Rattus norvegicus: one gene and its partners. The protein of the gene in region 2 purifies or fractionates together with the protein of the main gene of each other region. This does not show direct contact. Links are inferred from orthologs where the notes say so. Each region holds a gene or a part of one and is shown on either strand. Other genes may lie near its edges. The genes, in order: Edc4, Dcp1a, Bag4, Upf1 and Pnrc1.

Region 1 (5,795 bases), on a different chromosome or scaffold from region 2:
AGTGGAAAGCAGGGCCACAGTTCACAAGAGGTGGGGATTGGAGGCTGACGAGATGCCCTCTTGGGAACATGAAAGCCTGCTCTAACCTTTGAGGAAATGTAACACTTCCAAGGCCAAGGAGGGTCAGAAGAAAAATATATAGGAATAGAGTGCTCCAATCTTTTCCATTGCCCTCTACCACTTGCTACCTAGTACTTTATACGCATTCATATTCTCCCCTTATCCCCCAACCCCCACCTACCTGACCAGGTCCCTTGGGAATTAGTTTGTCAGCTGGGCCTGGGAGCAGGCCCGGAAGAAGGCTCCGAGGGCTTGCCTGCAGGCTGCTGCTGCTGCTTATAGTCAGGCTGCCATCTAGCTGCAGTTTGGGGCTCAAGGTCAGTTCCTCGGGTGGCCTACTGGCAGAAAGGCACGGCATTAGCAACTGTAATTCGTCACAGTTGGGCACAAGACCCAATTCTGATTTTTATTTTACCTGGGCAAGGAGGGGTCCATGGCTGAGGAGCTGCTCACAGCAGACACAGCTGTTAGAGAGCTGCTGCTGCTACTGCTGCTGCTGCTACTGCTGCTGCTGCTACTGCTGCTGCTACTACTAGGGGATGCAGAGATCTGGGAAGAGCCAGAAAATGAGTGCTAAGGTTAGCTAATGGGACATTACCAGACCTCTCTCCACGAAGGAAGTAAGTACCTGCTGCAGGGAGGCGGTAGGTGTCATGAAAGCATCAGGTGTCATCAACTTAGGCTTGGTCTCACTGCTCAGACTGAGGAAGTCTGCAGGTGCAGGCAGCTCCACAATGCGTCGGAGGTCAGGCTGGGAACCATGAGGAGCTGAAGCTAGCCCCTCAGAGCCTAGTTCAGGTCGAGACTCTCCAAATGCTGTTGGAAAAGCTGCTAAGTCAGATCTCAAGGCCACATCAGTGGAACCAGTCTCCCTTCTGTTCCCTTACTCACTGAAGTCCTCATGAGCAGTGTGGGTAGAGAGTGGGGCCACCACATCAGGGTTCAGCTGTGGCTGGAAGCGGATCTGCACATCTTGGAGTGCCCTAAAGAACAAAGGGGAGAAGAGAATACTCAAAAGGCCAGGGCCAGTAGGGTAGGGGGACATAGGCAGGACATGGCAGGCCTCCCTGACACACTCACTTAGTGTGCACACAAAAGAGCTTGATAAGCACACCAGCTGCAGATTCCAAGGTACCAGCTCCATGGGAACTCTCTGAAAGGACAGTGTGGATCATTAAGGCATTGGCCTGCTCTGTGCATGGACACTTCCCACATACCAACATATAGCCCTTACCCCAGGGCACCTCACCAGTCCCCAGACTGTCACTCTCCTCCTCAGCAGGCAGCACCTCAGTGTGCCGCAGCCGGCAGCGACTCACAACCTGGATGCCAAAGCTCAGCACAGGGTGGGTGAGCAGGAACTCAGAGATGGAACTGAAGCAAGCACGGCCCTCGTCCTGGTTCTGCAGCAGCTCCATCACATAGAGGACCTGCATGAGTAACACACTGCTAACTCAACTGAGGCTGTAAGGGCTGTGACTACATCACATAGCCCTGCCCTTCCCAGCAACACCAGCTCTTTCCAATGTACCACCACAGCAGCCTACCTTTCGTTGCACATCACTAAGAATCAAATATTCTGCTGAGAGGTCCAAGCAAACTTTGAGACTGGGAGGCACACTCACTGAACTGAAGATATCTGGGGAGAAGCTAGGGAGCCAACAAGCAGACCAAGTAAGGCTGAGAATTCAAAGGACTACGTCCCTGGCCTATCTCCCTCACTCTAGTTTACCGAATGGTTTGCAGGCAGGTCCAGGACACTGTGCACCACATCTTCAGCTCTCGATTCTGGTCAGCGCCAGTAATGAGGAACCTCCAGAATGGGACCCTGAGAATCACCAAGGCACTGACTGGTTACCAGCTAGAAGCCCACAGAAAAGCCCACCTACTTGCCTCTCCACTCACTCACTCAGGATCCTGTTTCTTATGGTTATCACAGAACAGGAGGCAAGAAAGAGGCCGCCCATCATGAGGTTTCCATTCATGCAGACACCTGCAGGCAGACAGGTGAACAGTCTGAGTGAATGATCTGTCCCTCTTTCTAAATAGGGCAGACACTAGTGTCTTTCAAGTCTTGCCTTACCTTGGCTCATCCTGACCTTCAATATAGATCTGCCAGAACTTGACAAAGCCATCATGGCTTGCGGTGGCCAGCACAGTCCCATCAGGGGAAAGGGCTCCTTCACTTAGGCACTGCAAAGAACCCAAAAAGCTTTGCTTTGCCTCCTGACCAGGGGTAAGAACGAGCCCTACCTCAATGACGATAGTAGTGAACAGGGCCAACCAACAGCGGCCTCATTTCTGTGTGACTGAATGAAGCGGGTAGGTGCTAAAGAGAAAACCAGACTTGCAGGGCACAGCTAGATTAGGAATCAATTGTCCAAGTGAGAGCCAGGTTGTCTTCAACATCCCCAAGGGAACACACTGGTAAAGCCCCTGGGGCAGCTGTGGGAATAGGGAAAGGCAGGGAGGCGATATGTTGTAGACCTACCGTGCTATGGCCTTTTACCACGATAAAGCCCTGCTTGATTTGGCTGACATCCACAGGCCATGTGCTGTGGCTGGAGCGAAGCATATCCAAGTCCCACACCTCAGCCTAGGGGTATAGGGAGGTATTTAGTCCATGTGCCCAGTATGGCAGTTCTGATCCTTCCTTCACCATAGCCAGTCCTCTCACCCGGTCTTCATGCAGCAGGGCCACCGTTGGGCTACTCTCCTCACAACAGTCCTCGCTTTCCTCAGGGATGAAAGGGCACCAGATGATCCTTCGGAAGTGGTTCAGTGGTGTGCCCTCTGGTTGCCGGATATGGACTAAGATCTCTTCTCTGAGTAGAGAGTTAAGGCTACATAGGTAGATGATGATGTAACCCTCAGCAGCCCCAGCCCTAGGCCCAGCTCTGCTTTTTCAGCCCCCTTGCCTGGGAATGGATACTGAATTTTGCCCTTAACCAGAGCCAGTCGCCACACAAAGAGATCGCCGGCCTCGTCCAGGCAGGCAAGCTGTGGAGAGTTGAGGTGTGCAAATGCAAGGTCAGCCACACTGCCTGTGAAGCCCTTGAGCAGGGTCCGCTCCGAAGTGCTCACACTGATCACTCGGACCATGGCTGAGCCATTGTTGGCAGCTGGAAGCAGAAAAGCAGAGGATTGTGAACGAGTGCCCCGTCCTTGCTTGCCACTTACTATCACCACAGTCCTGAGTCTGGTTTTCCTGACCAGCTCCCTCAGCCCTGGGACAAACCTCTACTGTACGCTAGCATCTGAGTACATCTGCATCTCTGGGGTTTGTAGCAGACACTTCCTTCTTGCTCCATGTTCTTACTTACCCCTGATGGCGTATGCCAAGAAGGAGTTAGACACTGCAATCAGGTTGCCATAGTAGTATTTCTGCTCCCAGTCATACTTGGCTACAGGCTGGATTTTCACCTGAGGGTTCAGAGTAAGGAAGCTGAAGAAGCTGAGGGCTGGAGTAGTTAACAATCCCAAGGGCAGGACAGGTCCACAGGTACAAACCTAACACCCACTGACATCTCCCAGAACAGACTTCCTCAGAGGTTTGGGAGTCAACACTGATTTTCTGAAAATAAGGTAGACTCTTTATCAAAGTGGTTCCCATAGGAATTGCCAGCATGCATGAGAGAAGAGAGACGCTGAGTGTGCTACTATATAGTACATATGCCACAAAATCCTGGTACTCACCTTGTTGCTCCCTCGCGCCTTGCTGGAAATGCTAGAATCACTGCTGGCCACAATTTCTACCTCCTTGGCCAAAATCCCAATGCACGTGGAGCTGTCATCTCCAGAGAGGCAACTGGAAGAGGTCCATAAACCAAGTAAGTCCCTTGTTCCTCAAAAGGCTCAGTAGAGGGTGCTAAGGTCATAGTGACCTGATGAAGATGTCTAGTCCCAGCTTCCCAGTTCTGCCTGGTTTCCATATACAGTTCCCCTTGCTCACCTCCCTTCTGGCAAATGAGGTTAATCCCATTCTACACTAGGCATCCAGGCCAAGTCTTTAGCCTGTCCTCATATCTTTTCTTAGTATATATTTAGTGAGGTATAGTGCTGTGCCCCAGATCATCCAGAAGAGAGGAAGCAAAGGCTGCTTGCCCATTTGACCTTAATCTTATCTCTATAGCTAAGTGAAATCCGCAAAGATATCATTATCATCATTACTATTTCTCAGGTACTCACATGACCTGCTTTTCCTGCAGATTAATGGGTGGCATGGTCCGTATACCAGGTTTGCTTGTCGAGTTACCATCTCCTGAACTGAGCGGATCTGGGACCAGGAGCCCATTGAGGTCTCCATTGTAGGCACTGGATGGCCTTTGGCTTTCGACATTGGAGCCTAGGAAAAGAAAACAACACTGTGAAAAGGTTGCTTTGCCTGCCATGAGCTTCTTCTACAACTCTAAACCACAAAGCACTCAGGAGCATTTGTTATGTCCAGTAGGGAGGAGGGCCCTTTGTTCATTCTTCATTCTGTAAGTGTGGTTATATAGCAGGACCAGGGATGAGTATGAGACTCATCTACCTGTGGGAAGGTTACAAACCAGCAAGACCTTGGAGCCAGAACCACAGCTCAGTGGTGGCATGTTGCCTGCTTATTTAGTATATGTGAGGCCCTTGGTTTGATCTTTAGCATCAAAAAACAAAACTAGGCCAGTTAATATTTGGGCTAAGAACAGCAAACAAACTTGATTTGAAGGAGGGTATGAGGACAATCAAGATATCATAGCAAATTATATCTACAACACACACATGGGAAATGCTGGGTGTTGTGGCACCTCATCATTTGAGAGGATGAGACAGAAAGACTGTGAGTTCAGGGAGATGCTAGGCTTATGTATGAAATTCAGGCCAGTCTAGACTACATATAAAATCCTGTCCCAAAACAAAACAGAAAGAAGTCAGAGAAATGGCAGTGTTTAAGCAGCAATTGCTGCTCTCAGCACCCACATGGTGGTTCACATCAATCTTTAATTCCAATTCCAAGGGACGTGGTACCTTCTTCTGATCTCCTCAGGCCCCAAGCCCACATGTAGTACACATACATATATGCAGGCAAAACACACAAACAATAGAATAAGTAAATCTACAACAAAACAAAAAAACCAAACAACCCAGAAACAAAACATGGTAAGGGTAGAGGTTGACAATGCCTCTGGGATGAGGCTAGGTTGTTTAGCCTCTCTTTCTGTGCAATGAGAGCCAAAGAGGCTCGCCACTCCCTCTCTTTTTTGAGACAGGGTCTTCCTGTGTAGTCAGATGGCTTTGAAGTTGAGGACTTTTTGCTTATGCCTCCTAAGTGTTGGAATTACAAGTACATGCTAGCACACTTGGCTCTACAAGGGTTTTACGTTTTATACATTCAGCTGCAGCCAGTGGACTGACTGTTACAAGGCAGCATACAGAACAGCTGAGAGTCTGTGCGAGATACCAGAATTCAAACACAGTAGGAGTTTGTGGAGAACGGTTCCTAATACAAAGAAAGGAGGGGTCTGACACACTGAATTAGTTAACAAGTCAACTTGGGCAGGTTAAACTCAGAAAGAAAGGCACATGGGGAACTAGACAAAGAAAGAGGAGAGAAGCTATGGGCATGTGGTAGGATGTGGAATTAGGAATGACATTATTTTAGATGTTTGAAATAGCTGGTCCCACTCCTTAATGCTGAGGATTGAGTCCTGGACATCCCTTGCATGCTAGGTGGGTTTCTGTTGTTTGGGGAGAGGAGG
Region 2 (6,245 bases):
CCTTAAGACCTCTGTCTGTACTGCGGCCCCCCAAACTGGTACCAGCATCTCCTCTCCGGCAAGTATTTGCCCAAATGTCACTTTCTCACCCCAACCCCCATCTCTTGATGTAAGCTCGTAATAAATTGATGCTGGAAGAAGTAACATTTTTTTCTTCAGTTTTTGAGACATGGTCATTCTGTGTGGCCCTGGGCTGCCCTAGAATTCTCTCTGTAGACCAGGCTGGCCTTGAACTTGGAAATCTACCTGCCTCTGCCTCCCAAGTGTAGGACTAAAGGCATGTGCTGCCAGTACCAGGTTTTTAAAAATATGGTACAAGTCTGTCTATGACTGCCACTCATTACAGCGGTAACTTTCCTTACACTAAATGGTCTTTGTATGTTTTTCCCGAGTTCTACAGTAAGAAAGCTCTAAATTTCTGAACCAAGGACATTCAACACACAATCCACTGAACACTCCTCAACCTAACACTTCATAGTTCACATTTGTTTCTGTAATATCACAGGGAGATAATGAAATCCTGTTCTCCAGATTCAGAAACAGAAGCAGAATTAAGGCTCATGCCCAAAGTCACACAAATTAAAAACTCCAAATCCAGTTTTCTTTTTGATTCCTGCAAAGTAACATTATGACATTCTAGTGTATTTTTGTCCAACGTACAGAAAATGTTCTTCAGTTCCCAAATAGAGGCTCTTAAGCCTCCTTTTCTTAGACCAATGCTATAGTTTGTATGAATTGTCTTAAATGAAGTTACTCACTATACTGAAGTTCCCACTTTCTCCAATCTGTTTTATTCTTCTAAAATTAGACCTATAAATATCCCCAAATGTTATAGACATTATGCTTATTCCTTAAAATTAGAGCTATAAATATCCCTGAGTATACAGACACTACTGTTCTAATAATAGTTAGGGGTTCTTAGAGACTTATATTGTTAATGAAGAGGTTGGAGTTAGATCTTTTTTATTTTAGAGAAGAAAAATGAAGTAGAGAAAAGAGTATCAAAGAAAGAGGAGCTTGTCATACAAACCTCGAAATACTTCCATTTAAAGGAAAAAGTGTATTTAGACAAGATCACAACGTTCTACACTAACATTTACAATAACACTCCATTCTTATAAAGTGGTACCAGTGGAGGATGGCTGTCCAAAAAAGAACTCGGCACAAAAAGAACCAATGTCTGTAGCCTTGCTGCTACCGCTCAAAGTTCTAGAATAGGCAAGGGATTTGCCTCTAACACCAAGAGCTATGGGTACCTGGGAATACAAGGGTCTCATGACTTGTCTCATCCTGTGGGCCACCTAGGATGAGGCCCCTATGCTGCCAAACAAGGTAAAGTTGTCAACCTTTACAAACCAACCATTTAAAGAATTAATTTTCGGGGCTGGAGAGATGGCTTAGTGGTTAGGAGCACTAACTGCTCTTCCAGAGGCCCTGTGTTCAAATCCCAGGGTGAACTCATGGTGGCTCACAACCATCTGTAATGGGATCTGATGCCCACTTCTGGTGTGTCTGAAGACAGTTACAGTGTACTCCTATATAATAAATAAATCTTTAAAAAAAAGAATTTTCAGAGAAGTTTAAAGTAAAATGTATATGAATTAGGAATGACCTAGAACTTTGGGAAGAGGCAGGAAAGGGGCAGAACCAGCCACAGAAGGCAAATTCTCATCAGAAACTACAGACCGGCAAGAGTGCTATCTCAATCACTTTATAGCTACTGTACTATACTATATTCGCAGACATTCGTACGTATGCATTCTTTTTAACATGGGAAGAAGAGCAGCAGCTGTAGTAGGACTGTAGTGCTTGGGTGGGGGAAAACTGGAAGAAGATAAACAGGAAGGCTCCAAAGCTACATACACGATAGAAACGGACCACGCTCCACCACAGCGATCACCACCATTCAAGTGAAGTAGAAACATCCTTAAGCCACTTACCTTCGGTATACAAATAATGTCCCTTCTATATCAGTCTTCTCCTGTAACAGACAACGACTCTGTCAGTTTTCCAGGAATAATCCAAGGTCAAATGATCTTGGTGAAGCACCTACACGTTCAGGCCAACTTGTCTTATTTACTGTGAAATCGATCGTGTATGTGCTCAAGGGAATGCACGCTGGCATTTGTGTACAACTGGAGAGGCCATCGGTCACTCTCAGGCGTCATTCCTTCTTTTGAGTCAGGGGGTCTCACTGGCCAGAAGATGGGCAATTTAGCTGCACTTCCTGGTCAGTGAGCTCCAGTGTTGTGTCATAAGCGCCTCCATGTCCCCAGAGGACACGTAAGTGCAAGCTACTACGTCCAGCTTTCTGTGTGAATACTTCAGGTTCTCAAGCTGGGGAGGCAAGCACTTCATCCACTGAGCTGTCTCTTTAGCCTCCAAATTAGTCACGTTTGAACAGGTAAAGCAATTCACTTTTTAAAAGAAATCTAAACAAATTATGTATCTGTTCACCCCTGTGTTTATGTATGTCCAACCCAACAATATGTGTACATCTGTAGCACATGTCTATTTTTGCCAGTGAGGAACATTTAAAGGGAAAAAAAAAGCGATTTAGCTTTACTTATTTTATGTATTAAATTTTTTTTTCAATTAGAAAAGATGTAGGGCTCTTTTGTCAGCATACGTATTTCTTTGTAACACATGTATGTGTGTACGTGGAGCTTAGAGAGGGCACTGGACGTCTTGGAACTGGAGTTACAGATGGGTCTGAACCATCATGGGGATGCTGGAAATTGAGGCAGGTCCTTGGGAAGAGCACCAAATGCTCTTAGCTACTACTGAGCCATTTCTCTGCCCCAGCTTCTCTCTGCAAACACTAAAACCTTTCAACTAGGTATCTTAATACTCCAGTCAAGGTATTGTCTACTGCAACTTAAAAAACCAAAAACTTGGAAAAAAAAACCAAAAACCAAACCAAACCAAACTTGAGCAGTCTATTGAGGTTTATAGAAAAAGAATGGAAACTTTCTTCAAAAGGGATACCAGGTTGAACTCAGAGCCTGGGCCTCATGATGCACAGCTGTGTAGCACTGAGCTAAATCCCTAACCCTCGGGACGTTTTCTTCTAAGATACTGTTTCATTTCTGGAGAATTTAGGACTATTTTCACGAGTTACACATTTTGTGGTGACCAAACACAATTTAATATTTTCAGAACTTTGTTAAGACTCGTGGATAGAAACCATTCTCTGCCTTAGACAAATGTGGTAGGTTTTTAAAATAAACGCCTGAAAATGTGATTAAGAAACTGTAACTTGGGTTGGGTATATAGCCCAGTGGTAGAGGAACAGTACAGTGTCTGCCTAGCATCAGGAGGAAATAGGACATCATGTAAATAGGTGCTTCAAGTTGAGGTTAACTAAAGTCAGTGAATGTAATTTCTGGAACTCCATGCCACTCACAAAATCCAAAAAGAACTAAGAAGTGAGCGATCAAACGTCCTATCACCGGTCTCTTTTTTTTTTTTTTTTCTTGTAAAAACGTCTCCAAGGAATCCAATTCTTACTGAAGTAGCCTTGAAATCTTTCTTTAAACTCCGGTGATACCAGTTCTGCTAAAGCTGGACTAACTCCTGAGACTGATTTTTAAGCTTCAAATCCAAATCATCACATTTAGGTCGGCAGGGAAAGAGGAGTGGATTTTGCAATCAAGAACACGTGATTTATCTAATAGTTTTCAAAGTCTCAAACACAGGTTTTCAATCACTTGTTAGAAAAAAAAATTAACTTGTCTCATATCCTGCCAATGCAACCTCAAGTCTCCAGAACCGACCCCAAAAAGACTGATCCTGCCTCATTCCTGTCCTCCATCTGATTTCCCTGTTATGTCTCTGGTGTACTCCTACCCTTCATTCCTCCAATTCCGCGTGTCCCTCCCCTTTCCCCCGTCATCTCTTCGGCTCTGGAAGGACCTTTGGGAGAGGTTCGGGCCTCGCCTTTGCGGTCCTACTCTGCTCCACACCCCACCCCCAATCCTAAGCTGTCTGCGCGGTCCCTTTAAGAGGCGGCAGCGGCCAGGCTGGCGTTCTCCACGGCTGGGCCTCACTCACCCACTGGTTGGCTTTGGGGCAGAAAGTGTACAAGGCGACCTGGCCCGTGAGGTCTGCGATGCTGGTGATGTAGGGGTCGTGTTGTTTCAAGGCCGCCAGACTCATCTCTTGCTCAGCTCGACTCAACAACTCCATCTTGGATCTCCAGGCCGAGCCCCTCGGGCGGGGGCGGACTGGAGAACAGGAAAGTGCCATCCAGGCAAAGTTCCCCCAGCTCAGTCAGCCGTCCACTTCCGCCTATCCGACCTGCCTTGCCGAGGGTGGTACTTCAGTTAATCTGATCCGCCGCTCCTATGCCCTGGGAGCCTGGTTCCGATCTTTTTAGGTCTGCGGCTGCCGGAAGGTACAGGCGTCCGCGCCTGCGCGGTGGAGCTTCGGCGAGCCGACATTCCGGAGTCCTCCTCTCTCACCTGGCGGGATCTGAACTTGTTCCTTGAGTGCTCCAGACTCCTGCCAGTGAGACCGCAGCCCAGCACATACCCTGAATCGAAATGCTTGCTGCTGTGGAAGTGAGGTTTTCATGGACCATTGAGAAAACTCAGACCAAGTGAGGAAAGGGAGCTGTACTTTACTTCCGAGCTGCACTTTCACTCTTAACTGTTTGGTAATTTTTGAAAGAAATGTTTCAAAGCAGCCAAACTAGCCTGCCTGGAACTACACTGTACTCGGCTTCCCCTCTTTGGCTTGTCTTTTCCTTCATCTGGGTCCTAAATAAATATTTCTGTTGTTCTAGAAAGACCTATTACGGGGTTGGGGATTTAGCTCAGCGGTAGAGCGCTTGCCTAGCGAGCACAAGGCCCTGGGTTCGGTCCCCAGCTCCGAAAAAAAGAAAAAAAAAGCAATATAGAAAGACCTATTACTTAAATAATAAGTAGATCTCTTAAAAAGCCAACATTATTGGGCATCCTAAGGGGTCAGGTACTACAAAGTAAAACAACGTGCTCAGCCTATTTTCATTGAGCTGCTTTAAAAACCATCGTTTTTCTTTATTGAGGACATCTCGGCACAAATGAACGTTTTTGAAAGGATAAACTTTACATTTCCATCAAAGTACCACCATATATTTGTGTTGCTTGTGGTTTTACATCCCAAGATCATTTGCTAATGGAAGGGCAGACTTTCCGTTCGGAAACACGTGTGAGGCAAGAAGTCGGAACAGCTTATGGTTTGTTCGCCCTTTGCTCACGTACACATTCATTGATCTTATAGAGTGGTTGTCAGTTCCAAGCTTCCAACTCTTTTTGGCACCAGGAGAAACGAAAAGCAAGCAAATAACCCCATGATAGACATTTCTCTTTGAATTCCAGAGGGTGGAGTCTATTTCCGTCTGAGCCAGGAAAGGTAGTGAAGGAACTCTTAACCAGTTCCGGCATGGTGGGCGTGGCTCTGGCAGGCCTTGCCCTTCTCCCCAGTTTCCTCTGCCTTGCTAAAGACTGTTAGATTGCATTCCTCACACTAGCCACCAAGGTCTGTTCCTTAATTTAGCCTAATAAGAGATTAATTTCTCCTGAGGCTGACTACCAAGGTCTGGCTATCAAAGTATTGGAGTCTAGCAATCAAAAGCCCCCTTTGGCTAATTAACATGCCCAATTAAAATTAAACACATCATCCTAACGTGGGCTTCCCCTTTTATCTTTATAAACTGCCATTTGCCCGTGGACCACATCTATTTCCTCTATATCTAGAGAGTCCTTTGTCTCCTTCCCAAACATCTCTTACCCCTCTCCTCCCAACCCCTTTAATTTTTAGCCCCTTGCCTTCCTATCTCCTGCCTTTGTTCATTATCCCTGCTCTCTCTCCCCCTGGAGCACATAAATCTCTGTGCTGAGAACATGGTCTTGGGGTGCCTTGAGCCAACTTCTGAAGGCAGTAGGAAGGCTTCAAGAAGGTGCTGAGGTTTGAACTGCTGCTTTCGATGAGGAGGTGCTCCTTGGGAAAGTAAAGTTAAGGGCTGAGGTTTGCTTCATGGCCCAGTGGCAAGGTGGGAACCTAGTGTTTAATGCTGATTTGATTCAGACTGGAGGGGAAGAAGGGAATGGCTCAGAGTTCCACACTAGTGAGGAGTATTCTGGTATGAGAGTCTTGGGGATCCTTGTTCCACATCTGGACTGCCTTTCACCCAGTGGTGGAGGGTAGGACCCCATCACTTTCTGTACCTTCATTTTCCCTCTGTATGCTAATTTTTGTGTGTT
Region 3 (5,795 bases), about 67 Mb from region 2:
CAATGTAATAGTCTGTGTAGGTGATTTAAGACCACAGGAAAACAGATTGGCATTGTATCTTGGAGGTGGCACACCTGTCTGACACACACAAGGCCCTGGGTTTAGTTCCCAGCACTGTTTAAAACAATAACCAAACTATAATAACCACAGTAGTAAACAGTATAGTGAAGAATTTCCCTGTTATCTGTTGTTGTCATCAGGAAAGCAGGGTGATTGCTTAGTTCAATATGACTGGGGTCATTTCTCGAACTCATCGTGATACTTATAGTAATGTAGTCACCATCTTTTGAACAAATTGTGTATCTGCTAAATCTTTTTTTGTTGTTGTTTTGTTATCTCAGTTTTTCCTAATAATCCTGCAAGGAAAGTTTTGGCCTTCATTTTCCTATTAGAGAAACTGAAGCTAAGAGTAACTAAATATAAACTATTAGAGAATGTTTCTGATTTTTTTCTTTCTATTATATGATTTTTTCCCCCTCTACCTTGTTCCCCAGGATTCCTAGAGTTGCCTTCTGTGAGCAAACGTTCTCCTCTTAGACATGTAGTTGTGAGTTAAATGTAAGAAAATGTTATCTGTCATCACAATATAGGCTTCCATCGATGTCCCATAACTTCAGTTTATAATCTGAGTTCAGTGCCTGGCGTGTGATATAGAGACTAGAGAAGAGAAAGAGCACCTCAGAGACTGCTTACTGACACCTTTACTTCCTAAAGTTTTCAAGGTTGAACATTAAGGGCATTTTAGCCCTTCAGCCCATTATCTTTTCCTCTCTGATTACCTTTTTTCAGAGTCTGAATTCTTACGCAAATGGAGCATATGGCCCACCTTACCCTCCTGGCCCTGCAACAGCAAGTGCTGCCTCTTACTCTGGGGCTTACTACGTACCTGGCTATGCTCAAGGCACTTACTCCACGGACATTCCTAGCACCTACCGTTCACCTGGTAACAGCCCGACTCCAGTGTCGCGTTGGATGTATCCCCAGCAGGACTGTCCGACAGAAGCGCCTCCTCTGCGGGGTCAGGTGCCGGGGTATCCTGCTTCACAGGTAAGCAGCCTCCTGGGAAGGAAAGAAAGCGCCTCTATTTCCTGAATTTCAAATAGTGGAAAGTTACCCATTTATACTAGTGCTGTTTAGGAAGACAAGTGGAGCCATGTACACTGTGTACACCTTCAACCCCAGTTTTCAGGAGGCAGAGGCAGGTGAAGCCCTTGTAGTCATGACCATTCAAGACTATGTAGTGTGACCTTGTCTCAAAAACAACAAAACAGAAAATACTGTAGTCATTCAGAGATTATTTGACAAATGGAGAAATGGAGTTTCTTTTATATTGATGCCTAAATGGATTTGGCTGAAGTGACCTTAAAAATGCCATAATTCTAACTCTTTTAAATCCTAACATTTTATTATTGTGTGCATGGTAGGAGTTGTGAGGGATGACATACATGTACCACAGGACAATTTTGTGGAGTGTGTTTTCTCTTCACTTTCTGTGGGTTCCATGGATCAAACTCAGGTCTCCAGACTTGCATAGCAAGTGCCTTTACCCACTGAGCCATCTCTCTGGCCCATAATTTATATTTTTTTCTGTTTGTTTTTTTCTTTTTCTTCTTTGAGACCAGGTCTTCGTATGTAGCCCTGGGCACCTGGACCTCCATGTACAGACCTAGTTGGCCTCAAACTCACAGCAAATTGCCTACCACTCACTCCTGAGTGCTGGGACTAGGGACATAATGCCACTACACCTGCTCCTCTTTTGTTCTCTCTTATTCTTATTATTTTTAATTCTATGCATACTCTCATGGCTGTGTTCATGTACATGAATGCGGGTACTCACAAGGCCGCAAGAGTGAGCATTCATGGAACTGGAGTGACAGGTTTGGGAACCACCTGCTATGGTATCTAGGACTTGAACTTGAGTCCTCTAGAAGAGCAGTATGTGCTCTTAACCACTGCCACATTTCTCCAGCCCCCATAAAGTTTGTAATAGATCTTTTGTTGCTGCTTGAAGCTTTCCCTGACTGAACCTTTCCTAACACTGTTGGATGTGTTACCGTGCTGTGAGTGTGCCGAGCGTATTTGTTGTTTGGAGAACACTCTGCTGTCTGCATGTTTACAGTGTGTGCATTCATTCATCTGTATGTTTTTGGAAAATACATGCTTCATCCAGTGAATTTGAAGACTAACTCATGAGTCTTTCACCAACTCTGTTCTTTGTGTTTTGGGAGCCAGGTTTTCTCAGGTGTGGAGAATTTTTGGTAACTGATTAATGAGTTACTAGCAGGTCAGGACCTCTCTGTGCTATTTTTATTACTTTTAAGCTTTGTTTTTTTAAGCAGTGATCAATGAGCATACCAGCACATTTGTTTTTCCCAATCTAGAACCCTGCAATGACCTTGCCCCATTATCCTTACGGAGATGGCAACCGCACTGTGCCACAGTCTGGAGCAACTGGACGACCACAAGATGATGCATGGGCTTCTAGTGCTTACGGGATGGGAGCCCGTTATCCCTGGCCTTCAGCTGCACCCTCAGCCCCCTCTGGGAACCTGTACATGACGGAAAGTGCTTCACCATGGCCCGGTAACAGTTCTCCTCAGCCACCTCCTTCACCTCCACCCCAACAGCCTAAGGTAGGAGGCCTTCCAAATGCAGTTCTTTTGATCTCTAGGCAATTAAGAGGATATAAGATGACACTTCTTTGGATTAGTCTATTAAATGCAAAAATGTTGGTCGTTGCTACCCTATGGCATTATGTTAGCTTAGATTGTTATACTTTTATAAATAGTATTATTTGGGGATTTTTTTATTTTTTAGGTTTTTATCTTTTTGTAATTTTTTCATTATTTTTATGTGTATGAATATATTGGCTGCCTCTGTTTATGCTATGTAATTTTTCATTATTTTTATGTGTATGGTATACTGGCTGCCTCTGTCTATGGGCCACATGTGTACTCGGTGCCCTTGGAGGCCAGAACCCCTGGAACTTGAGTTACAGACAATGATGACCTACCTTGTAGCTACTGACAATCAAATCTGGGGTCCTGGGGAGAGCGGCCAATGCTCTTACCTGCTGGCCATCTCTCCAGCACCGTATCTTTTTTTAAAAAAAAGACAGGAAAATGCTTCTTTTCTACTGTGATACTATCTGAATATTAAGTAGAATCAAGGGATTATTTTACAGCCTCATGATTTGCAGCAGGAGGGAAAACAATGTGAAATAGCACACATTGGCTTGTGTGCTGGCTTTACCTAAGCCACAGACACACTTTCTGCTTTTGCCTATGCTCTGCAAGCTTTTACTATTTGAGGGAAACTAATGATGAATTGTGAGTAGTAAGATGGGCTGGGGGTGTTCCCAAGAATGACTTGTACTGGGTAGATTCCAACTGTCACATTTATGAATTCTGTGCCTGTTGCTTGAAAGGACTCTCCTGTCATCTTCTGACAGTGCTGACCTCTGATGGTTACTTAGGAGCCAGTTTTGTGGGAATCTTTTCAAGTACTGTCCTGGTTGGTAAAAGATGTGTACTAACATCTGATGTTGATAGCTTCCATGAAAACAGCTTTCTTTTTTCTGTCTTCCATTCCAAGGACTCCTCATATTCCTATAGCCAATCGGGTCAAGGCATGAACCGGCACAGCTTTCCTTGCAGCGTCCGTCAGTATGAATCTCCGGGAGCAGTGAACAATGATGAATCAGACCTTTTGGATTCTCAAGTCCAATATAGTGCTGAGCCGCAGTTGTATGGGAATACCAGCAGTGAGCATCCAAGCAACCAAGTTCCCAGTAATAATCTCCCTGAAGAGTGTTTCTCTTCAGATGAAGGCACTCCTCCAAGTATTAAAAAAATCATACATGTGCTGGAGAAGGTCCAGTATCTTGAGCAAGAAGTAGAGGAGTTTGTGGGGAAAAAGACAGACAAAGCCTACTGGCTTCTGGAAGAAATGCTGACAAAGGAACTGTTAGAACTGGATTCTGTTGAAACTGGGGGCCAGGACTCTGTGCGTCAGGCCAGGAAAGAAGCTGTTTGTAAGATCCAGGCCATACTGGAAAAGTTAGAAAAAAAGGGATTATGAAATAATTCGGAATGCAGCGGAAGCCTGTTAATGATTTGGCCAAAGAACTCTTTAATTTGGTTAGTTCCCATCTTTTGAAATGCCTGTTGTGACAAGAAGCAACACATTCCAACTTTCTTCTGAGCTAAAACTTGAAAGGAAAAAGAACTGGAAAAGCCAGCAGAGGAATGGAATTGCAGCAGTGACAAGATTCTTTTCAGTTTTCAGATGACTGCACATAATAGGAAACTGGAATTATCAGTATTGCCAAGTAGACCTACTTCTTACGAAACCCACTGATGTCTGGAGGCTGCTGCTTATCAGGTCGCAGGAGGGAGATAGACTTATGTAACAGGTTGTCAAAAACCGGATCTGAGACAAGCAGGCTGTTTTGTAAGCATCTGGACTGTCACATTTTTGTGCATTGTGACTGCATATACTTCATGTGTATATTATAGCCTAGACTCTTGGACCTCTGTTCTGTTTTCTTACCAGCAGGTCACAGATGTAATACTATTCTACTTCTTCGTACATTTTGTAGTAATATGTTTAATATAATCAAATATTGGCAGCCAGATAGGTGAGCAGTTCTGAATGAATTCATATCCTTTTACCACTTGAATATATTGCAGTGTGTAGTGGGCTCCTAAAGTCATTTGTCCCCCTTCCTGTGTAGCATGTTACGTTACGTTCTTCCCACTTCTGCTTTTCATGATGGGGAAGGTGACTCTGAAAATTACATTAACATAAGAATGACAATGTTTGCCACATTCTTTGCTTTGTTGTATTTGGATAAAGATCTCTGAAATTGCTTTTTTAAGAAAAATATCTTTTGGCTATTACTGCTTCTATAAAGAGCCTTATGATAAAAAAGTGGAAACTTAAATGCCACAGTTAGTATAAATAGTGACTGCAAAAAAGTAACAAATATGATTATTTAATAACACTGGTCTCCATTCGGTAGGTCTGTGGGACAGATCTGAGCTCAGTGTGTAGCTGATAGAAGGAAAAGGAGGAGATTCATGCTCAGGGAATGAGTCAGCCTTAGCTGAAGTGGAAAATTAATACTTTTAATTTAAATTTGGTCTTTATTTTGTAGGATAAATTGCATAGAATTGCCTGTTTCATAAGAAAGATGTTTATCATTAATAATAGTCAATTTAGAGCTGAGTTTAAGAAAAGGGGCCTTTTTTGGTTATCTGTGTATGTTATACAGAGACAGGTAAATAATTTACCCTTTAAGCCTAAAGTGAGATCTAGCATACAGTATCCACTTTCGCAACAAAGGCAGTTTCTTAGTAAAATATCAAGGTGATGCTTTCTTCTAGACTAGCCGGCCTTTATGTTAGTGATACTAAGCATACAGCCATCCTTCTACTCACAAGAAGCAAACCGATGCCAACATACGATGAGAAGAAATGTAGTAAGAATATTGTCTAGGGGCTGGAGGTGTGGCTCCGTTAGTAGAGTGTTTGCCTACCGTACATGAAGTCCTAGGCTAATCCCCAGTGTTGTATAAACAAGTGTACATACCTGGCTCAGCACTTGGGAGGTGAACACAAGAAGGCGGCAAGTTTAAGGTCATCCTTGGCTACATAATAAATTCAAGGCTAGCCTGAGCCAAGTAAGATCCTGTCTCCAAAAACAAACAGAATAAGTGATTCAAGAAGTGATCATTTTATACCAGGAGTCTGTAGTTTTTAAAAGACTTTATTTGGCTGGGTTTGGTGGTGTAC
Region 4 (6,585 bases), about 13 Mb from region 2:
CCATGAGACTGAGGGTCCCTCACGCGACCTGTCTAGCTTAGTAGCAAGCTGGGACCCTGTTTTCCTAGTTCTCTAAAATCATGGGACACATGCTGGCAGCTTCCCAGGGCCCCATCTCAGCCCTGCCCCCATCCCGCCACTTCATATCCCTTGATGCCTTCCTTCAGGTCATTTTGGGCCCCCAGGTACTGGCTGGCACGTCCCCTTCCGCCCATGTCTGCAACTGTAGGCATGATGCCCCACAGTGTCCCTTCCTTGCAGCGGGTGCCCTGCCCCCACCCCATCCGTCAGTGGGGCTCCTGTCTCTCAGCGCTTCCCTTCCTCCTTGTCTCAGCCCAGCCCCTTTGCTGGGGCATTGCGCCATGTCCGCTCTCTCCTTGCACCTCCAGGTCTGTCCTCCAGGATCATACAGCCCGCCAGAACCTCAGGGCTGTGCCCCGAGTGGACCGTCGTCTTTGACCTGTCGAGCGTGGAGCCCATAGAGCGCCCAACACGCGCGCGCCTAGAGTTGCGGCTGGAGGCTGAGAGCGAAGATACACGAGGGTGGGAGCTAAGCGTGGCGCTGTTGGCCGAGGCTGAGCATCCTGGGCCTGAGCTACTGCGCGTGCAGGCGCCACCCGGGCTGCCACTGCGCGCAGACCTACTGGGGACTGCAGTAGCGGCTAACGCATCGGTGCCGCGCACTCTGCGCTTGGCGCTGGCGCTGCACCCTGGGGCCGCTGCAACCTGTGGGCGCCTGGCTGAGGCCTCGTTGCTGCTGGTGACGCTGGACCCACGCCTGTGTCCCTTGCCGCGGTCACGGCGCCACACGGAGCCCAGGGTGGGAGGTGGTCCAGTGGGCACATGTCGCACCCGACGGTTGCACGTGAGCTTCCGTGAGGTGGGCTGGCACCGCTGGGTGATTGCGCCGCGGGGCTTTCTAGCCAACTTCTGCCAGGGCACGTGTGCGCTACCTGAAACACTGAGGGGACCCGGCGGGCCGCCTGCACTTAACCACGCTGTGCTGCGCGCGCTCATGCACGCAGCTGCTCCCACCCCGGGTGTAGGCTCGCCCTGCTGCGTGCCAGAGCGTCTGTCGCCTATCTCCGTGCTCTTCTTCGATAATAGTGACAACGTGGTGCTGCGCCACTACGAGGACATGGTGGTGGATGAGTGTGGCTGTCGCTGACCACCCAGGACACCCTTTCAGGGACGGCCCCACGCGAAAAGCAGGGACCGTTTGTTCATGTTTTATTGGTGACAAAAAGCTTAAAACAAATTTGACCAAAAATTAAGTTCCATTGCGTTGGCGCAGGTGTGCCTGGGTAGGGGTTGGGTGGCTGCCGCGGGAGGTGGGGGGGCCGGGGCAGGGCGCCCAGCAATGAGGCCTCCACCCACGATGGGGAAGAACCCGCGGGCCGTGCTCACGAGTTCGCCTGTAGCCTCTGAAGCTCCAACTCAAAACCCTCCTGCTGCGGTCCTGGCGGTGATCCCAGGCTGCGGGGCTCGGGCTTCTCAGCACTGCCTCTCCGGAAGCTTCTCTCATCTCCCAGGTCCACCAGTCGGGTCTTAGAGACAAACTCATCCAAGTACTTCCCATACTCCTTTGAAAGAATCTTTGAGGGGGAAAAAAAAAAAAGAAAAAAAAAAAAAAAGAGAAAAAACCCCAAACACCGTATTTTCTTTAAATGAAACCCCTTAGCGCTGGGACCGCGCGCTGATGCTCTTGGCCGCCCGCTTGGGCACAGAAACGCGAAGTTCGTCCTGCTAAAACGTAGCCCCTCAATCACGAGAAACAAAGAAAAAGAACAGCGGGGCCGGTCCTGGCGAGGCCTCTCCCTCTGGCGGGCACGGCGCTGGGCCGGCCTCGCAGCGGTGCGGGCCTCTCTCCTCTCGCCGCCCGCAGGGGGCGCCCGCTCCTCGGCGCTCCGCTCTGTCGTCCTCCCTGGCCGCTCTCTGCTCGCTCTTGCTCCTCTTTCCTCTCCTCTCCTCTCCTCGGCTGCTCACACAGTGGTGCTTCAGTTTTAGCAGTGGAAAACAGGTATCCATTTATTTTTATTTTTTATTACCCAGAATAAGATGCTGATAGACTAAGCCACATAGCTTAGCTCTTCCGCCGCTACCTGTGATCAGGGACAGGGTGAGAGGTGTCAGAGCCAGCAGAGGTAGGACCTGCCAACACCCCACATCTACTGGCCCAGTTTGGCTGGGAAGACCTTGTTTGCCCACTAGGGCACTTGCCTTCTAGTACTGGGACAGCCCGGTGACCCCGCCGTGCTGGTATGCCCGCTCTCCCTGGTATGTGGAGTCTTGTGAGAGTGCCACGTCAATCTGTGATTTAAACTCATCACCGAGGTAGCTGTCCTGAAAGGCAAAGGCAGTGTGAACATGGCCAGGGCAGCCACTAGCCCACAGCCACCCAGTCCTCAGACCCACAGCAGTGGGGTCACTCACCCTTCAGAAAGGAGGCATAATGGTCCTGTGTGTCTCCCCCCCCCACCCCCCACCCCCAGTATAATGGTGAAGGCCCACCTGGGACAATTCTGGCTGGGAGAGGCCAGGCTGGCTCATCTGAGAGGGCTGGCTCATGGACACATAACCTTGTGTGAGGGCACCCTGCGAAAAGGGCTGTGAGGCCACATCCTGGCTGGCCTGGCTGTTGGGAAGGGTAGTCTGGCTGGGCCCAGGAAGCCCAAAGCGGTTCTTCTGGCGGCCTCCACGGCCAGTCTTGCTTTTTGGGGTGCCCCGACCTAAAAGACAGCAGTGAAATATGGCAAGTTCTACCTAAAGTTAGGAGAGGAGCCAGGGCAGTGATAGAAGCACTTACCAGCAGCTGGCCCGTTGGCCTGTCCGAAGTACCCAGGTGGTGGCATGGGAGGCATGACCAAGTTGAAGGGAATGGGGATGTTCATGGCAGCCACATGGCTGGGACCTGCGCTGATCATGCTAATCTGGTCATGGGTCTGGAAGTACATGTTTGAGGGCCGGCCTGCAAAACACTTGGGAGTCAGATGGAGGGCCCCAGTGGACACTGGCTGCCCTGAACTATAGCTACTACATCAGCCAGACAAGTAGGCGAGCAGAGGGAGGTCGAGTGACATGCGGGGTGCTGGTAGAGAATAAGAAACATAGAAGGGTTGGTGAGGATCTGGCCACAATGGAGCTTTCTAGGCAACTTAGAAGCTTCCAGAAAGCAGAGGCCAGCCTGGCTGAGGTGGACAGGGGCAGCAGCACTCAGGCAGCCTATGCAGACAGGAGGTCCCGGCAGTTTTCAAGAGACCATGCTCCAAACCAACAGCAGAGGCCAGAACAGCCCTTGGGAACCTCGTTGGAGAAGCTAGACACCTATTGACAAGCTCCAGATGGAGGCCACCCATGGGGTGACAGGTTCGGACTGGGTCATGGGAAGGTAAACAGACTGGTGCTTGCCAGGAAGGCTCACCCTGGCTGCTGCGGTCATAGACAGATCCGGGGATGATAGCCTCACGGGCATCATACATGGCAGTAGTCATGAAGCGGGCCCCCTGCAAGGTGGCACAAGAGTGAGGAATGTGTCAGTCAACAGCAGCAGAGTTAGCTCAGAGCTCCCAGCCTCCCCAGGTCCCAGGCCAGCCCCTTGGCCCACCGGATTGACGGTGTTGACAAGCTTGCGAGGCTTGCTGAACTGCATGAGGCTCTCCCGCAGGTTGTTGAGCGGCCCTTCCACCAGCGCCTTCTGCTCCTTGTAGTAGCTCAGCAGGTGGTTCCACAGGGGCTGCTTCGACAGTGCCTTTGGGTTACCCACGATGATCACCCCGTACCTGCAGGGCAACCGACATACTGAGCCCATGGCCATACTCACTCAACCCCACTGTCCAGGGCTAGCACCATGAACGTGAACAGCTGGGTGCTGAGAACCAAACAACACATGAGGTGCGCCTGAGCAGTGGGAACTCTAAGTGCACTCTCAGCTCTCCAAATGCTGATTGTGAGCTCAATCTGTGTCCTATAGGATCATGGAGTTGTGTTCCTCAATCAGTAGGGTAGCAAGTAGGCCTCAAGATGGGGTTCCAGCATGCACGTCTACTTCCAGGACAGATATGGGTAAAATGGATGATAGGGAGGGTCTTCTTGTGGGTGGAGGGTGGATGGGAGCAATGGGCTGTGGCCTACCTTGCTCTGGTGAGAGCCACATTGAGACGCCGGGGGTCGTTTAAGAACCCAATACCCTGGTGCTCATTGGCACGCACGCAGGACAGGATGATGAAGTCCTTCTCCCGGCCCTGGAAGGCATCCACGCTTGCAATCTCCACTTCCTGAATGAGACAGTGTCTTGTCAGTCACAGCCCGGCCCCTCGCTCTCCTGCCTCTTCCTTCAGCTGCACAGGAAGGAGCTGCATCATTAAGTATGGTACAGCCAGATGCTACAGGTCCCCAGTGACAGAGATACCACAGGCCCAGTGAAGCAGAGACTGAGTAGGCGCTATGGTGTCAATCCTTGGCCATGCTAACCCCAATACAAAACCAACCAACGCTCTGCATCTGTCACACGCCCAGACAACGTACAAGTACCATGCCTTTCAGGTGGGACTGCCCCTTCCTGTCCTGTCCCTAGACTGCTTTCTTTTCAAGACAAAGCCTTACTGAACAGCCCTGGCTGTCTTAAGGCTGACAATCAAGGCTGACTTCAAATTCATAGAGACCAACCTGTGCTCGTGTGACCAAGGTGCTGAGACAGCACCACACTCTAATTTTGTCTCCAGCATACACTTACTGTGGCTGAAGGCACCGACCTGTGGGTCAGTGGGTCTGGGGGTACCTGGTAGAGCTTCGTGTGCAGGGAGCCGCTGAACTGCATGTACTGCACCAAGTAGGAGCGCTGGCCCTCGTAGGGAGTGATGATGCCAATCTGGTCAGGCTTCGCGCCTGCCTTCAGCAGCTTTGTCGTTATCTTCTCCACATTGGCTGCCTCCGTCCTGAGAACATCTGGCTGTCAGTGACAGGCTCCTTACATGTCCCCAGCCTGATAAACCTCCAGTAACCAAAGGGGCACAGGAGGCCACATGACAGTTGCCCGTCCCTGCCATTTGCCAAGGCTCCAGAAGAAACAAGAGCCTTGTGACTTCCCCTCACATGCTGTAACAAGCAGAACCACCCAAGAAGTAAGATGCTCTGGGTTTTGGGTCTGGGAGCCCAGGGTGAGAACAGGGCTCCATACCAGGGACGCAGCTGCACACCTGTTGAGGTAGGATGTGCCAGAGCTGGCAATCTCCTCCTGGCCCTGTGTCACGTAGAAGAACATGGGCTTGTCAGGCTGTGGCCACTGGAAGTCAAAACCTTTCTTGACACGATCGGCTGTCAGGGAAAGACAGAAGGTGTCACTGCTAAGAAGCCCAGGGCTCAAGTGCACACACTGAGAGCAGCAAAAGGGCTGAGTCAGCACTGTTTAAGACATAGTCGCCCACTGGGGACACAAGGATACTTCCTGTGCAAGCAATGACCAAGAGCGGCCGAGCCCAGGAAATACCAGGAGTCTCACATACTCCGGCAGTCACAGAGGGAATAGCAGGTCCAGCAGAGTGGTGCTGTCCCCACCTCTGGCTACTTGGATCCATGTGGCAGACCAGAGACACAGCTCTCAGCACGCAGTCCTGGCTGGCCCTGACCTCCCAGAGAGCCTGCCTGTCTGGTCCTAAGTCCTAGGATTAAAGCTGAGAGCCATGCCCAGCTGGTAAAAAAATTTTAAGAAAAACACCTTTATGCTGCAAAGCAAGTCAGATAGCAACCTTTCATTCCACTTCACTCAGGCTTCATGGAGGACAGCTAGGCCCACTTTGTTTCTGAACCAACCTGCCATGACAGCTTTGAGCCACAAACAGCTTCCAAGGGTGTGTGTATGACACTGTAGCTATGGCTGAGCTGATAGCACAGCACCATAGGCAGTGGCCTCCACAGACCGCTCTGCCTACTACCCAGGCTCTCTAGGTCCTCCCAACAGACACTGTGCAAAGACCCTGAAGGGGTCACTGCCATAAATAGTTTTAGGTGACCCTAGTGTCCTAAAATTCTCTGTTCACAGAGCTTCAAATTACCACAGGTAATAGACGTCACCAGCTGCTGAACTCAAAGACAGGCTCTCGCAATCTACTTCCCTGGTCTCATCACTGATGGTTTGTCAAGAAAACCCTGCTGTCAGGGAGGTTCAGTTCTGTCTAGGGTGCCTATCCTGGAACTGTCCAACACAAAGCAATGGCCAAGGGGTGGAGCCAGTACATGAGATGGCCACGGTGAAAGGCCCAGCAACCCCAGAACTCCCAGGCAGGCCCATCTACAGACCAGCTGTGCATGGCCAGTGTGTGTGTGGGGCAGCCACACTCCAACAGCACCTTGACAGCCATAGGGAGGACTGTGAGGTCATGACCCAACTGTTACCTGCAGTGACGCCATTCTGCAGCGAGCCCTCGTAGAAGATGTTGGACGGGAAGGCGCTGAGTGCAGGGTGCATGCGGTATTGCACCTGCAGGCGGATGGGCCGGATGCCCAGCACCACCAAGCGCTCGAAGAGCGATTGAGACAACCCGGCCTTGGCTGCCTTCTTGCACATCACTACTGGGCCCAGCTGGCAGT
Region 5 (6,244 bases), on a different chromosome or scaffold from region 2:
TGAGGCCAGAGCCTTTCCAGAATGATGGCTCACACTTTTAACCAGAGCAGTAGGGAGGCCAAGGCAGGAAGATCTCCATGAGTTCAAGGCTAGTCTGGCTTACATAGTGAATTCTAGGCCAGGGAGGGCTGTATAGCAAGACTCTGCATAAAATAAAATTTAAAAAAATGTTTACTTAAATTGTTACTAGAAGCTTTGGGGTGTCACATGCTACGAGGGGGTTGAAAGGCATTAGACAGCTTCAGGGGAGAGTGAACAATCCCAGAGTGTCCAGGGAACCATGCTCATACCCAGGATCTGAGAGTAAAGGAGATGAAAAGGAAGTTACCAGAAGGTCGGTTCTCTACCTGTGGCAAGAGGTAGATTCCATTCTTTTGACCAGGAGATGACTTTCTCTCAACAGAGCCCAGATCAAGGGAACTGCAAAACTCCCATTTCAGAAGAGGTAACCCCAAAATCATTTACCTGAAAGGTTGAATACTCCCTACTTTTCTCAAAGCTAGAGACTTGATTTTAAATGTTTACCATTAAGAATTACTGTATGGGGCGCGGGGGGGGGCTGGAGAGATGGCTCAGCGGTTAAGAGCACCCGACTGCTCTTCCAGAGGTCATGAGTTCAATTCCCAGCAACCACATGGTGGCTCACACCCATCTGTAATGGGATCCGATGTCTGAAGACAGCTACAGTGTACTTATATACATAAAATAAATACATCTTTAAAAAAAATTACTGTATGGGCTGGGAGTGGCTTTTTAGGAAGAAATAAGAAGTCAGAGCTCCCTTCTAGGATCTCTAGTCTGAGAACAAAGACATTCCCTACTGCTGGTCAAAGACAAAGGAACCCCATTCCCAGTCTCTAAACCTCCTAGCTCATCCCCATCTTCTATTCTCATCAGAGGGTAACTTGTGGTTTTGGTTCTCTTTTAGGTGACTTATAGGGATGGGACTCAGACTGCCAGGTTTATGTTGCAAGTACTTTAATTACTCCCTGATCCATCTAGATGCCCCGCTCTTTTTATTATTTTCAGACAGAGTCTCATTAAGCTTCCCGTACTCCAACTCAGCCTCTCCAGGAGCTAGTGTTACAAGTCTTGATCTTGCCATACCTAGACTGGAGTTCAGATTCTTCTGCTAATTTTCTAATGATTTGTGTGTGATTCTTTAGTTTCTGAATGCCTTGATTACTGTAAAATGTTAAAAAAAGAAATTCCTGGACAGTGGCGGCACGAGCATTTAATCCCAGCACTAGGGAGGCAGAGGCAGGTGGATCTCTGTGTTCAAGGCCAGCCCAGTCTACAGATTGAGTAAAGAGAGGACAGCCTGGGCTACACAAAGAGAAACACCATCTCCAAGGGAAAAAAAAAAAAGAAAGAAAGAAATGAAATAAAACCCTAATCATTAAAGAACTATGTTTCAAACAAGATGAATTACAGAATTAGTTCTGAGGTCATACTTATTTGGTAACTTATTTAGTTCTTTTCTGTATTAAACTGTGAGGAGAGAGTTCTGTTAACCCAGTTAGCTAGCAAACTGTAGCAGAGCTGGTTTTCTAAGTACAAAGGCCAATTGGCTTGCAGTAGCATCAAGTATCAGGGGCAATGTGAGATCTTAAGGGCCTCCCAGATCTTTAACTATAAAAGCAGTAAGAATTTTAAGGCCCATTTTCGGGATTATAGAGCACTTTTGGTAAACTGAGGAATCCATCAATAAACCTTTTTTAATTTTCACCACCAGGGTTAACTGGCAGCATCAGAAAACTGAACGAGAAATCACATAGCCACACTTCAATGTAGGTTAAATGGAGGCAGATCTTCACCAGCGCTATGAAATAAATCCTTAGTTTTCTCCGAAATCTCTTAAATAATATGTTGAGCTGAAACTGAAAAACTACAAAGCAATCCTTTCTTGAGGTCAGCAGCTTCCTAGTTCCTCCACCGCCTCTCTCCTCCCTCCTCACTCGCCCCACCCCGAGGCCACCCCAAAGGATTGATGCAAGGGAGGTGAGGCCAAAGTCGAACTTCATTGTTCACGGGACACTCTCTCGAAGAGCCCGTTGGACGCGCCTGCGCAACGTGCGTTCTTTGTGAGGGGCTGCAGCAGGCTGCTTGTTTGTGTCTTGCCTCCGGGCGCGGAGGCGGGATCGAGGGAGTGGCCTGGCAGGCGCATTCGGATTGGACCGCCACAGAGAGGTGGACGGGTGCGGGGCGGGGCCTCGGGTAACAACACTAGCCGCGGTGGCCAGCGCTATTTGTTGCTGCGCCGCCTCGCCCGAGTCATGGTCCTTGCCCCGAACCTTCCAGCAGCAGCCTCCGCCGCCGCCCCGTGACGCCTGCTCCCCGTCGTCTGCCGAGCCCCGCGCCATGACTGTCGTCTCCGTTCCACAGCGAGATCTCGCTCTGGGCGGCCGCCTAGCGCCGCTTGGGTTCCTCGGGGCCCTCCCGATGGTGAGCCCGGCCCCGCCGCCCTTGCCGCGCCTTCCGGACCCGCGCGCTCTGCCACCCACCCTCTTCCTGCCGCACTTCCTCGGAGGGGACGGGCCGTGCCTGGCGCCCGCGCCTCGCACCGCTGCACCGTCCAGCTGCAGCTTGGTCCCGGCCGCTGCCCCACGGGCAGCGCCCAAGAAGCGGCGGAAGAAAAAGGTGCGGGCCAGCCCGGCCGGGCAGCTCCCAAGCCGCTTCCACCAGTTTCAGCAGCACCGGCCGAGCCTGGAGGGTGGCCGCAGCCCGGTGCCGGGGCCGATCGCAGCGCAGGAGGAGCGGGGTCCAGGGGCCACTGCCCTGCTATACAGACAGCCCCCACTCGCGAAGGAGGTAGGGCCGGTGGGGGCGGGGCGGCTGTTTACTCGGGAGGGAAGTTTCCGTGACGCTCGCTGGAGTCGTGGGGCGGAAGCAGGGAGGGGGAGGGGCTGGACTGCTGCGCTGGCTCCGCCCTCTGGCTCCGGAGCCAGCCAATGGGAGCAGCGGCTGTGGCCCAGCAACAGCCTGCATTTAGAAGGTTGGCGGCGATCCAGGGGGTTTCGGCGTTCGGGGCTCTGAGACCTGCGGAGGGCTGACGTCAGCCCGCTACGTGCGGCGCTCTGGGGCTCTCATGAAGGCGGTGCTGGGTGGGGGCGGAGGCGCAGGCGCCTTGCCCAGTAGGGCACCCGACCCGACCCACTCACGGCCTGACCCACTGAGTCTGACCCGGGATTTGGAAGTTGGCAAGAGTCTCAGTCTGATGCCCGACACTAGTGTTTCACAGTCCTTGTGCTGTGAGCGGTGCAGGCCGGCACGAGCTTTCCTCGCTGGAGGGGCTTCTAAGCAGTGCCCAGAATTGAGTTTTAGAAGTTATAAAATGGACATTGCAGTTAACTGATACGGATAAAATTTTGTCGGGGCTTAAAGGTTTGAGAGTTTTCTTACCAAAAACAAAACAAAACAAAACATCGTAACATACAATTTGAGGGATTCTTTGTTGATAATGACACAAAAAGCAGCCATTGTACTGAAATTGTACTTGATCAAGGTATGCCAATGGAGAGGAATAAAAATTTAGATCCTGAGGTGGTTTTTTTAGTTTTTCAGACAGGCGTTTGCATTACCTTGGAACTCACTGTGCATCGGAGAACATTGTTTTTTAAAGGCTACCGTTAGGGTGTGGATTTGTGTGACCTTGTACTTGCCTTCAGTTTTTGTGCAAGCGTTAGGGGGAGTGATCTAAGGGTAGAGTTTCCATCTGGTGCAAATTCTGTAGATTATACTTTTGGCTAGGAAAGTTACTAGGGTGCAAAAGTTTTTGGTCTGTTTGTTAGGAGTGGGGCTGAGTTTATAAGATTAACCAAGTAGCCCAGGCTGGCCTAGAATTTACCTTTCTGCGTCTGCCTTTACAGGCCTTTTGGTTGAGTTTAGAAGATTGTCCATGAGGTTGTTGAATCTCAAAGGCAGTCGAAAACGGTTTTTTCTAACCTATAGAGGACACTTGCTCCTTTCCGTTGTTTACAGTTAGAAAACATGGGGTTGGTTAGAGTTTTTAAAGCGATTTCTTACTGTATATAAGTTTAGTGTATGCTGTAATTAAGAGCATCAATTTCAATAGCAACTAAGAGGCATGCCATTTGGACATCCAGTAGCAAGCACAGCCTGCACGTAAGTATTTAGTTAAAACTGGATTCAATTCTAGAGGAACTTAAGAACAACTTGGCAAAATAGATCTAAAGATAATTTTTATCTTAAACTGTTCACTTTTGTGTTCTTTGTAGGTTTTAAAATCAAAGATGGGAAAATCGGAGAAAATTTCCCCTCCCCATAGCCAGCTTGTGCATGGTATACACTTGTGTGAACAACCAAAGATAAGCAGACAGAAAAGCAAATTTAACTTGCCACTAACCAAGATCACCTCTGCAAAAAGGAATGAAAATGACTTTTGGCAAGATTCCGCTTCCTCTGATAGAATGCAGAAGCAGGAAAAAAAGCCTCTGAAAAATACTGAGAACATTAAGAATAACCATTTGAAGAAATCAGCATTTCTAACAGAAGGGAGCCAAAAGGAAAATTACGCCGGAGCCAAGTTCAGCGACCCACCGTCCCCTAGTGTCCTCCCAAAGCCTCCGAGTCACTGGATGGGAAGTACCACTGAGAATCCCAGCCAGAGCCGGGAGCTGATGGCAGTGCACTTGAAAACGCTCCTCAAAGTGCAGACCTAGGCTCCAGTCTGCAGTGTGTATTAGACACAGATTCCCCCGCATCCTCGGACTGAAGGAAGTGGATACGGCAGTGGAAATTTGCCGTATCGCAGCATCCGACACAATGAGCTTATGTCACACAAGCAGCTTGTATTATATTTTGTATTTTGTAAATACTGTATACCATGTATTATGTGTATATTGTTCATACTTGAGAGGTACATTATAGTTTTGTTATGAAAGTATGTATTTTCCCTGCGGATGTGGTGGGTGTTTTGTATATATACAGTGGAGATATTTTAAGTGGGTGCTAAGGCACGTGGAAGACTGTTTATTTGCACAGGTACTGACATTTTTTTAAGAACAGCTGTCAAATCTCAAAAGTGAAGATCTAAATGTGAACAGTTTACCTAATGTACTACTGAAGCTTAAGTCTGGCACAATCACTGTAAACATGGAGTTTGTGTTTCTCTAAATTGACTTGACTTTTAATCTGTAATTACTAGAAAGCTTCCTATTTTTACCAAACTTGACTTCTGGATATCAGTATATTGCCATTATTGAAAAGATTTAAAACACCTCTAATTTTAAATACCAACAAAATTGGTTGTAATCAAATTTTAAATCAATAATAATAATTTGGCCTCCCCCCCCCTTTATGGTGGTCTTGGCTTTTTGTGTGTGACTGAATGAATGTGTAAGCAGGTGACTCTGTGGTTGGACTTGGAACATTTATCGTCTTTGTGCTAAAATAGCAATTATGCTATGAAGTTTAGATGTGCTTAATTATTTTTTTTTTCTTTTCTTTTTTTCAGAGCTGGGGACCGAACTCAGGGCCTTGCGCTTGCTAGGCAAGCGCTCTACCACTGAGCTAAATCCCCAACTCCATGCTTAATAATTATTAAGGTTAATAATTTAACCTACCTCTAAGAGAAAGAATTTCCCATCTTAGAAATGAATGTGAACACAGGTGAAGCTGGTTATTACAAAAAATTAAGACAGGATCTCGAGCTAGCTCAGCTGTGGAGTTGAGATAACCTAGAACTTCTGGTTCTGCCTCCAGTGCTGGGGTTGCTGGCATACACCACCACCCCTGGTTTAAGTGGTGCTGGGGATAAACAGGGCTCGGCATGCTCGGCAAGCAAGCACCGTGCCAACAGACAAGCTCTAGAGTACGTAATTCCTCGTCTTCATTGCCATTTGGAGATAATTATTTCTGATCTTGATCTTGTTTCCTGCTCCAAGCAGGGCTGGCACTTTTGTAATCTGTTTGCCTGAGGAACTGGGGTCACAGGCAAACTCTCACACCTGATTTAGGATCTCCTTTTGTGTGAAGTGTCACTGCTTGACTTCCATTATGTGCATGTGAGTACAGTGCCCATAATCTCTCACAGATGGCCACAGGCCGCTCTGATCTGGGTAGCCTGTCAATTGAGATCCCCTCAGATAACCTCCGGTGGCTGCTCCACCTCAACCTCCTCAAACAGAATCTCCCCCAAGTTCTGTCAACGACCTCCGGATGGCATAGAGGGGCTTTGGCTGTCCACTTTGTCACATATCATCATTAATGTCTTCTGCATGCA

What was found.
Region 1: the proteins of Dcp1a (region 2) and Edc4 purify together in Homo sapiens (co-immunoprecipitation; 9 studies listed by BioGRID and IntAct, with this or other methods). This does not show direct contact. The link is inferred for Rattus norvegicus from reciprocal best matches to the Homo sapiens genes DCP1A and EDC4.
Region 3: the proteins of Dcp1a (region 2) and Bag4 purify together in Homo sapiens (affinity purification with mass spectrometry; 4 studies listed by BioGRID and IntAct, counting the BioPlex papers as one, with this or other methods). This does not show direct contact. The link is inferred for Rattus norvegicus from reciprocal best matches to the Homo sapiens genes DCP1A and BAG4.
Region 4: the proteins of Dcp1a (region 2) and Upf1 purify together in Homo sapiens (co-immunoprecipitation; 4 studies listed by BioGRID and IntAct, with this or other methods). This does not show direct contact. The link is inferred for Rattus norvegicus from reciprocal best matches to the Homo sapiens genes DCP1A and UPF1.
Region 5: the proteins of Dcp1a (region 2) and Pnrc1 purify together in Homo sapiens (affinity purification with mass spectrometry; 3 studies listed by BioGRID and IntAct, with this or other methods). This does not show direct contact. The link is inferred for Rattus norvegicus from reciprocal best matches to the Homo sapiens genes DCP1A and PNRC1.

Annotation. Positions count from the first base shown.
Region 1 is NC_086037.1:50,686,079-50,691,873, reverse strand, and holds part of Edc4 (enhancer of mRNA-decapping protein 4), read right to left. Parts: intron 4,406-5,795; coding exon 4,249-4,405; intron 3,869-4,248; coding exon 3,757-3,868; intron 3,484-3,756; coding exon 3,384-3,483; intron 3,183-3,383; coding exon 2,993-3,182; intron 2,886-2,992; coding exon 2,738-2,885; intron 2,657-2,737; coding exon 2,552-2,656; intron 2,254-2,551; coding exon 2,144-2,253; intron 2,054-2,143; coding exon 1,970-2,053; intron 1,889-1,969; coding exon 1,793-1,888; intron 1,711-1,792; coding exon 1,608-1,710; intron 1,491-1,607; coding exon 1,310-1,490; intron 1,214-1,309; coding exon 1,141-1,213; intron 1,044-1,140; coding exon 952-1,043; intron 877-951; coding exon 689-876; intron 610-688; coding exon 476-609; intron 399-475; coding exon 242-398; intron 1-241. UniProt on the Homo sapiens protein: In the process of mRNA degradation, seems to play a role in mRNA decapping. Component of a complex containing DCP2 and DCP1A which functions in decapping of ARE-containing mRNAs. Promotes complex formation between DCP1A and DCP2.
Region 2 is NC_086034.1:5,661,405-5,667,649, reverse strand, and holds the start of Dcp1a (mRNA-decapping enzyme 1A), read right to left. Parts: upstream 4,214-6,245; 5' UTR 4,189-4,213; coding exon 4,054-4,188; intron 1,982-4,053; coding exon 1,941-1,981; intron 1-1,940. UniProt on the Homo sapiens protein: Necessary for the degradation of mRNAs, both in normal mRNA turnover and in nonsense-mediated mRNA decay. Removes the 7-methyl guanine cap structure from mRNA molecules, yielding a 5'-phosphorylated mRNA fragment and 7m-GDP.
Region 3 is NC_086034.1:73,003,987-73,009,781, forward strand, and holds the end of Bag4 (BAG family molecular chaperone regulator 4), read left to right. Parts: exon of another isoform or gene 1-789; coding exon 790-1,047; exon of another isoform or gene 1,048-1,059; intron 1,060-2,381; coding exon 2,382-2,633; intron 2,634-3,594; coding exon 3,595-4,080; 3' UTR 4,081-4,634; downstream 4,635-5,795. UniProt on the Homo sapiens protein: Inhibits the chaperone activity of HSP70/HSC70 by promoting substrate release. Prevents constitutive TNFRSF1A signaling. Negative regulator of PRKN translocation to damaged mitochondria.
Region 4 is NC_086034.1:19,125,956-19,132,540, reverse strand, and holds the end of Upf1 (UPF1, RNA helicase and ATPase), read right to left. Parts: coding exon 6,391-6,585; intron 5,314-6,390; coding exon 5,196-5,313; intron 4,935-5,195; coding exon 4,778-4,934; intron 4,275-4,777; coding exon 4,132-4,274; intron 3,780-4,131; coding exon 3,605-3,779; intron 3,504-3,604; coding exon 3,422-3,503; intron 2,969-3,421; coding exon 2,807-2,968; intron 2,730-2,806; coding exon 2,512-2,729; intron 2,344-2,511; coding exon 2,224-2,343; 3' UTR 2,221-2,223; exon of another isoform or gene 2,217-2,220; intron 2,103-2,216; 3' UTR 1,214-2,102; downstream 1-1,213. Other genes in the region: Gdf1 (embryonic growth/differentiation factor 1 precursor), read left to right, coding at 390-1,168. UniProt on the Homo sapiens protein: RNA-dependent helicase required for nonsense-mediated decay (NMD) of aberrant mRNAs containing premature stop codons and modulates the expression level of normal mRNAs.
Region 5 is NC_086023.1:52,442,476-52,448,719, reverse strand, and holds Pnrc1 (proline-rich nuclear receptor coactivator 1), read left to right. Parts: upstream 1-2,228; 5' UTR 2,229-2,361; coding exon 2,362-2,811; intron 2,812-4,238; coding exon 4,239-4,682; 3' UTR 4,683-5,320; downstream 5,321-6,244. UniProt on the Homo sapiens protein: Nuclear receptor coactivator. May play a role in signal transduction.